Macaca mulatta: one gene and its partner. The protein of the gene in region 1 binds, or shares a complex with, the protein of each later gene. Links are inferred from orthologs where the notes say so. Each region holds a gene or a part of one and is shown on either strand. Other genes may lie near its edges.

Region 1 (4,399 bases):
CAGGGATATGGAATCAACCTAAGTGCCCATCAACAGTAGATTGGATAAAGAACATGTGGTACAGAGTCATATGTAATGGCTCACACCTGTAATCCTGGCACTTTGGGAGGCCACAGCGGGCGAATCACTTGAGCTCAGGAGTTTGAGACCAGCCGGGCAACATGGTGAAACCCTGTCTCGACCAAAAATACAAAAAATTAGCTGGGTGTGGTGGCACTCGCCTGTAGTCCTAGCTACTCGGGAGACTGAGGTGGGAGGATTGCTTAAGCCTTGGAGGCAGAGGTTGCAGTGAGTAGAGATTGCACGATTGCACTCCAGCCTGGGTGACAGAGCAAGACAGAGAGAGAGAGAAAGAGAGGGAGGGAGGAAGGGTGATAGGGAGGAAGCGGGATAGGTAGGGAGGGAGGGAGGTAAGAGAGGGAAGGAAGGAAAGAAATGTGGTGCATATACACGATGGAATAAGATGGAATACTACGGAATACTATGAAGCCATAAGAATGAACGAAATCATGTCCTTTGCAGCAACATGGATGGAGCTGGAGGCCATTATCCTAAGCGACCTAACAAGAACAGAAAACCAAATACTGCATGTTCTCACTTATAAGTGGGAGCTAAACATTGAGTACACATGGACACAAAGATGGGAACAATAAACGCTGGGGATCGCTAACCAGGGAGGGATAGAGGGAACTCTAGGCTGAAGAACCTCTTGGTGGGTATTATGCTTACTGCCTGGGTGACGGGATCGTTGGGACTCCAAGCCTCAGCGTCGCGCAGTGTACCCATGTAACAAACCTGCACGTGTACCCTTTAATCTATAATAAAAGTTGAAATAAAAGAGAGAGAAAAGGTACAGGAGGCGCTTGTAGCCCCAGCAGCCCGGCCCAGATGAAGGAGGGGCATTAAGGGCACTGCAGGACACTGTGAGGAAACAATAAACCCGCTCGTTCCTTAATTCAGCCGCTTCCTTATTCTGGAAGCGCAGGTTCAGTGCCAGAGGCTGGGGTGGGGTCAGCGGAGCCCGCTAGTAAAGTCAAGGGCCATGCAGCTGCGGACTCAGACTCGGGCCCAGGGCCCTGGCCGCAGCGTGAAGAGGGGATGGGGTCGCCGCTCCCACCTCTGCCCTGGCAGGAAGTCTCTGGAGCTCCGGGACAGGGCAGCGAGCGGGCGCCGAAGAGGCAGAAGGGGACACGCGGGCCTGCAGCGGGGTCTCCTCTGAGCTTCCCTGGACTCCCAAGTGCGGGCACTGGAGGTGCGCAGTCCTGGCCTTGGCGCGCTCCCGGCACAAAGTAGGCGCGCGGCCCCGGCTCCAGCGCGCTCCCGGCACACAGTAGGCGCGCGGCCCCGGCCCCGGCGAGCTCCTAGCACACAGTAGGCGCGCGGCGCGGGCGGGCGGCCGGAAGGGGGCGCCGGCGGGCGGTATCCGGGGGCGGAGCCGACGCGGCCGGCAGGGCGGACGGGCGCGGGCCGCGCGTGGCTACGGCGATGGGCGAGGGCGGGCTGCCCCCGGCCTTCCAGCTGCTGCTGCGCGCGTGTGACCAGGGCGACACGGAGACCGCGCGGCGGCTGCTGGAGCCGGGGGCAGCGGAGCCAGCCGAGCGCGGCGCGGAGCCGGAAGCGGGCGCGGAGCCGGTGGGGGCCGAGGCGGCCGGGCCCGGGGCCGCAGCAGCGGCGGCAGTCGGGGCTCCGGTGCCCGTGGACTGCTCGGACGAGGCGGGCAACACCGCACTGCAGTTCGCCGCGGCCGGGGGCCACGAACCGCTGGTGCGCTTCCTGCTGCGCCGCGGTGCCTCGGTCAACAGCCGCAACCACTACGGCTGGAGCGCGCTCATGCAGGCGGCCAGGTGAGGCGGCGGGGCTCGGGGGCCCTGGACGCGGCCCCGGGCGGCCGGATCTCCCCGGCGGCCAGATGTCCCGGGAGGTAAAGAGTTAAGGACTCTTTAGAGTTGGGATGGTAAACTTTGAGTAGTCTTTGGTAAACTTTGAGCATAGAAATGGAAATACTTTTGTATTAACATAAAATCAGATTCTTAGAAACTTTGGCCTTTCAGAATAGAATCTGGAGACAACGAACAGAATCGTAGAGACTTAGAACCTTAGAGATTTAATTCATTTCTTTTTTTTTCTTTTTTTTTGAGATGGAGTCTGGCTCTGTCGCCCAGACTGGAGTGCAGTGGCGCGATCTCAGCTCACTACAAGGTCCTCCTCCCGGGTCCATGCCATTCTTCTGCCTCAGCCTCCCGAGTAGCTGGGACTACAGGCGCCCGCCACCACGCCCGGCTATTTATTATTATTATTATTATTATTATTATTATTATTATTATTTTAGTAGAGGCGGGGTTTCATCGTGTTAGCCAGGATGGTCTTGATCTCCTGACGTTGTGATCCGCCTGCCTCAGCCTCCCAAAGTGCTGGGATTACAGGCGTGAGCCACCGCGCCCAGCCTGATTTAATTCATTTCTCATTGCAGTAAGGGTTTCCTCAGAACCTGCTTTCCCTTCCTGGCTTGGCGTTGAGGATGTTCCGAGACCAGGCAGAGTCACCACCAGGGCAGTGGTGGACAGGCCAGGCAAAGGAACGAGCTTGACCGGAAAGGTTTGAGTAGCTCTGGGGGCAGTTGACCCATTTTGGAGACGTTGGGGAAGGTTTCTGGTAGAAATGATGTTTATATCCACGTGGAGATAACCTCCACGTGGATGCCTGAGAATTAGCCAGGACAGAACAAGTGGGATGTGGGAAGGGCATGATGGGAGGCCCATGCAAAGGCTTGGGTGCACGAGCTGGTAGGACTAGTAGAATTATGTATGAGTAGAATGATGTACTAGTCCCCCCTGGAGAGAAGGCGGTTGCCAGGGAATGGGGGGAGGGGGGAGCTGAGGAATTTACTGAGTGAGGTTTGTGACTGCAGCACTAACGTGCCTCGGAGTGTCTCGGAGACCCCTGATCACCAGTTTTAACCAAGTCCTGCAGGATAGTCTGAGCCTGGGTATTTTAAAATGTGCTGTTCCTCAGTTGGTGTGACACCGACTATATATTCAGGTAGCATCTCTGCCTGTGTTGAGTTGTGCTCCGGCTTTCTGCTGCGTAATTCATACCAAAAGGTCAAGTTGAGGAGTAGTATGTATGGAAGACTTCCAGAAGGATGTATAGTGTGTCTGTCCCTCATATCAGGGTCAGCAAATGCATGGCCCATGTGCTGACACTTTCCAAGCCTTGTGCTCTTCTTCCTTGGATCTGGATATGCCCCAGAATCCTGCTCAAAACCGCACCCCTGGCAGCCACCACACTGGGTCTAAGCGAGCATCTATTTATCATCCCAGCTCTCTGTGTGCATCAGGCCAGACTGTCAGACACCCTGTGCCTTTGGACTCTTGTGGGTGTTTTAGTATTAGAAATGGTGACGTTAGTGTTTTTTCTTTTCTTTCTTTTTTTTTTTTTTGTTTTGAGACAGAGTCTCGCTGTCACCAGGCTGGAGTACAGCGGCGCGATCTCGACTCACTGCAACCTCCACCTCCCGGGTTCAAGCGATTCTCCTGCCTCAGCCTCCCAAGTAGCTGGGAGGCACGTGCCACCACGCCCGTGCCACCCTGCCCAGCTAATTTTTGTATTTTTAGTAGAGACAGGGTTTCACCATGTTGGCCAGGCTGGTCTCGATCTCTTGATTTCGTGATCCACCTGCCTCAGCCTCCCAAAGTGCTGCGATTACAGATGTGAGTCACCGTGCTCCGCCGTGTTTTTTCCTGTTCTTAAAATAACAGGTAACCTTTGGCTGGGTGCGGTGTCTCACGCCTGTAATCCCAGCACTTTGGGAGGCCGAGGCGGGCAGATCACGAGGTCAGGAGATCAAGACCAGCCTGGCCAACACAGTGAAACCCTGTCTCTACTAAAAATACAAATATTAGCTGGGCGTGGTGGCGTGGGCATGGTGGCATGCGCCTGTAGTCCCAGCTACTCGGGAGGCTGAGGCAGGAGAATCGCTTGAACCCAGGAGGCGGTGGTTGCAGTGAGCTGAGATCCTGTGACTGCACTCCAGCCTGGCAACAGCAAGACTCCATCTCAAAAAAAAAAAAAGTAACCTTTATGGAGCACCTACTTTCAGTCAAGCACTGTGCTAAGTGCTTTAAATGAATTAACTCATTCGATCTATACAAAACCTTAGGAAGGAGGTACTCTTGTCATCCTCATTTCATAGATGAGGAATTGAGGAACAGAGAAGTTAAATAACTTGCCTCAGTCACATAGCTACCAAGTCGCCAGACAGATGCACACTTAGGGAGGTGGCTCCAGAGCCTGTGCTCCCAGCCATGAATCCTGTAACTGATAGTTTCCCTCTTGATGTTGGTGGCGAGGAAGCGGCTTGCCAAATTTGCCCGAGACTTCTCTCCTAGGGACAGGGTTG
Region 2 (3,808 bases), on another chromosome or scaffold:
AGGTACTCCCACCTACCACGTAAATGGGCGGGGCGCACTCTGTTTTCTGGATATGCTCTCACGTAGCTCACTAATCTCTTATTCTAGATTCTTTCTGATTCTTACTATGCTGAATGCCACAGTGAAAATTCTAAATTGTAGTGTATGTCCTGCATTATTTCCTTAGGCGCCATTGTACTTCAGCCTGGGTAACAGAGCAAGATCCTATCTCAAAAAAAAAAAAAAAAAGCAAACATGCTTATGATAGTACATTTTAAAAACATAGAAGATTGGACAATTGGAAAAATCTCCATCAAAAATAATAAATAACTTAAAAATAGCAACCTTTTGGGTATGTTACCGTCCAATACTGTTTTCTGTGTACTTTTATTTTTTGTCTCGTTTTGCAGGAGTTGTAATGTATATGTAGTTTTGTACCATGATCCTTTTTTATTTTTTTTGAGACAAGGTCTTGCCCTATTGCTCAGGCTGGAGTGCAGTGGCGCGATCTCAGCTCGCTGCAGCATCCACCTCTGGGACTTAAGGGATCCTCCCGCCTCAGCCTCCTGAGTAGCTGGGACCACAGGCGTGTGCCGCCATACCCTGCTCGTTTTTATTAAAGATGCTCCCCCTTTCTGGGGTCCCACCTCCTCCTCTGGGATTTGGCTCTGGCTTCCCTGCCTACCCCCGCTGCCTGGACTAACAGGAGAGCAGGACAGTTACGGTATAGAGCAACACCAGAAACATGCTGTATTGATTATAGTTTGTTGTTTTTTCTTGTAGAGGTGGGGTCACACTGTGTTGCCCAGGTTGTTCTCCAACTCCTGAGCTCGAGCGATCCACCTGCCTTGGCCTCCCAAATATTAGGATTACAGGCATGAGCCACCTCACTTGGCCATGATCCTTTTTTAACTTGATCATACAGCCGTTTGTAAATCTCATCATCTATGGCAATAACGTAACTGGCTCCTTGTCCCCCTGAGCATTCAAGTTGTCTCTAGGTAGGTTTTCATTATTGTGAATATGTTATGCCAAACTTTTTTTTTTTTTTGAGACAGAGTCTCACTCTGTCATCAGGCTGGAGCAGTGCAGTGGCACGATCTCGGCTCACTGCAACCTCCGTCTGCTTCCCGGGTTCAAGTGATTCTCCTGCCTCAGCCTCCCGAGTAGCTGGGACTTTAGGCATTCGCCACCACACCAGTTAATTTTTTGTATTTTTAGTAGAAGGGGTTTCACCATGTTGGCCAGGATGGTTTCGATCTCCTGACCTTGTGATCTGCCCACCTCGGCCTCCCAAAGTGCTGGGATTACAGGTGTGAACCACCGTACCCGGCCTGTGCCAAACGCCTTTGCACACTAAAGCTTTCTCTGTATTTAGGGTTATTTCCTTAGAGTCATGGAAGTGGAATTGCTGCACCACAAGACCTGTAAATACATGATAGAGCTTTTGATCAAAGTGATGAATTCTGCTTCAGAGGATGGTGCTTTCATTCTGACTGGTTAAAAAGGCTGCTTTCATTGTGAACTGCTGTCTCCAGCTTTCTTTGAGTGAAGACAAGCAAAGCGAGTGGGACACAGCCTAGGCGCAGAAGGTGAAGGCTGGGCTCTCCCCATGGTGGCTGCCAGCCCACTGCAAGGGAGGTCATGAGTGTGGCGGGCAGCAGTGGGAAGCCGAGAGCTGCCACAGCTGGGAGATGACTCCCCAACCCAAGCCCCCCTCATGCTTGTCACTAAAAAGAGAGTGAGAGCAAAACTTGTGGCTACGATGCAGACAAGCCCGCCTTTTTCTCATGCAGATGTGGCGTTTCCCGTGCAGGGAGGCAGCCAGAAACCAGCATATGCCCTTCTCTTCCCAGCCAGCAGCCCAGGAACGGCAGGCACTTTGAAGGAGAGGCTCCTAACCCCCTTTCACGGACATTCGCAGGGAGTCAAGGTGGATGCGAGAGACCACAGTGGAGCCACAGCCCGGATGCTGGCCAAGCAGTACGGACACATGAAGATCGTGGCCTTGATGGACACTCACTCGCCCTCTCTGCCCAAGAGCCTCTATCGGAGCCCAGGTACCCACACCTGCCAGCCGTGCCCTGCTGGGGTCTCTGGTTGTCTTCAGCTTCAGGTGACCTGGCAGAGAAAGATGTCCCCCTCTTCCCCGGCTCCCACCTTCTCCTCTGAGATTTGGCTTTGCCTCCCCCAGCTGCTTCCATGTCAAGGTTGAGGCCGCTGCTCTAACAGGAGAGAAGGATGGTTATGATGGAGAGTGGCACAAAACCAGGCTGTCGTGACTGTAGAGGCTTTCTGTAGTATGCTTGACTACCGAGTCGCGGCAGGCCCCCTTAGTTTTCTGTTTTCACCGTTTCCTGGGCTATGGCTTATTCATTTTTCTGTATGAACTTGAATATCAACTTGTCTAGCTCCTTAAAAACAGCTTGATACTTTTATGGAGATTGTGACAGTGTATGAATTAACTCTATCTTTGTGGTGTTGAGTTGTCCTGTCTAAGAACAAGGGATGTCTTCTTGTTCCAGTGTACTTTTGGGTCTTGCAGGAGGGTTTTAAATTTTTCTTCATCTATATTTTGCATATGACTAGTTTGTTCCTAAGTGTTTGATCATCTTTTTTCCTATTGTAATGGGATTTTCCCTACCATTATACCCCTTTTTTTCCCCCAAATCTCAGGGTATTAATTATTCAGTGCTATTTATTTTTTATTTCAGTAGGTTTTTGGGGAACAGGTGGTGGTTGGATATGTGAATAAGTTCTTTAGTGGTGTCATTATATCGTTTAACTGCATATTGTCAGTGCATTTGAAGGCAGTGGATTTCTGCAAACTTTTTTTTTTTTTGAGATGGGAGTTTCGCTCTTGTTGCTCAGGCTGGAGTGCAGTGGTGCAATCTCGCCTCACCGCAGCCTCCGCCTTCCAGGTTCAAGCAATTCTCCTGCCTCAGCCTCCAAAGTAGCTGGGATTACAGGCGTGCATCGCCATGCGTGGCTAATTTTTTGTATTTTTAGTAGAGATGGGATTTCTCCATGTTGGTCAGGCTGGTCTCAAACTCGTGACCTCAGGTGATCCACCAGCCTCGGCCTTCCACAGTGCTGGGATTACAGGTGTGAGCCACTGCGCCCGGCCCTGCAAACTAATTTTATATTCTGCTACCTTACAGAATTCTTGTATTGTTCAGGTTAGTTTTGTTACTGATTCTTTAGGGCTTTACAGGTGTACTAACATATAATCTTTAAGTATCGATGAATACACTGCTACCTGCTGATTCTTATGACTCTGACTTTGTTGAATTGCATTGTTCTTTGTTTAGTTGCTGACACCTCTAGCCCGTTGTTCAGTATAGTGGAGACTGTGCGCCTCCTCACCTTGGTCCTGATCTTAGTGGAAACGCCTCATTATGTGAGAGCGAAGGCATATGTTATTTTACCATATTAACAAAGTATTCATCAGTTCTTGTATTCTTGAGTGGTGTTTTACTGGAGTAACTATTGAATTTTGTTTCCTTATCTTTGGAGACGACTGTGAATTTTCATATGGTAGCTTGTCTTCATGAACCTCCTAATAACGAATCAACTTTACATTCTTGGCATAAATCACACATGTTGTATTATTTTAATGTGTTTTTGAATTCTGTTTATTAATATTTAGTATTTCTCAATGGATACTTAGTCATAAGTGATATTGGTCTATAGTTTTCTTTCTTCTTTTTTTTTGTTTTTGAAATGGAGTCTTGCTGTGTTGCCCAGGCTGGAGTGCAGTGGCAAGATCTCAGCTCACTGCAACCTCTGCCTCCTGGGTTCAAGCGATTCTCCTGCCTCAGCCTCCCAA

The links.
Region 2: the proteins of ANKS6 (region 1) and ANKS3 are in contact, whole or in part, in a crystal structure (PDB 4NL9), measured with the Homo sapiens proteins. The link is inferred for Macaca mulatta from reciprocal best matches to the Homo sapiens genes ANKS6 and ANKS3. Residues at the interface, in NP_775822.3 of Homo sapiens: Glu796, Gln797, Glu798, Val799, Asp800, Glu802, Ala803, Thr806, Leu807, Asp811, Glu814, Leu815; in NP_597707.1 of Homo sapiens: Lys441, Tyr442, Thr470, Leu471, Phe472, Gly473, Pro474, Arg476, Lys477, Arg484.

What each region holds. Positions count from the first base shown.
Region 1 is NC_133420.1:59,611,246-59,615,644, forward strand, and holds the start of ANKS6 (ankyrin repeat and SAM domain-containing protein 6), read left to right. Parts: upstream 1-1,425; 5' UTR 1,426-1,485; coding exon 1,486-1,844; intron 1,845-4,399.
Region 2 is NC_133425.1:5,973,424-5,977,231, reverse strand, and holds part of ANKS3 (ankyrin repeat and SAM domain-containing protein 3), read left to right. Parts: intron 1-1,835; coding exon of another isoform or gene 1,836-1,903; coding exon 1,904-2,039; intron 2,040-3,808. UniProt on the Homo sapiens protein: May be involved in vasopressin signaling in the kidney.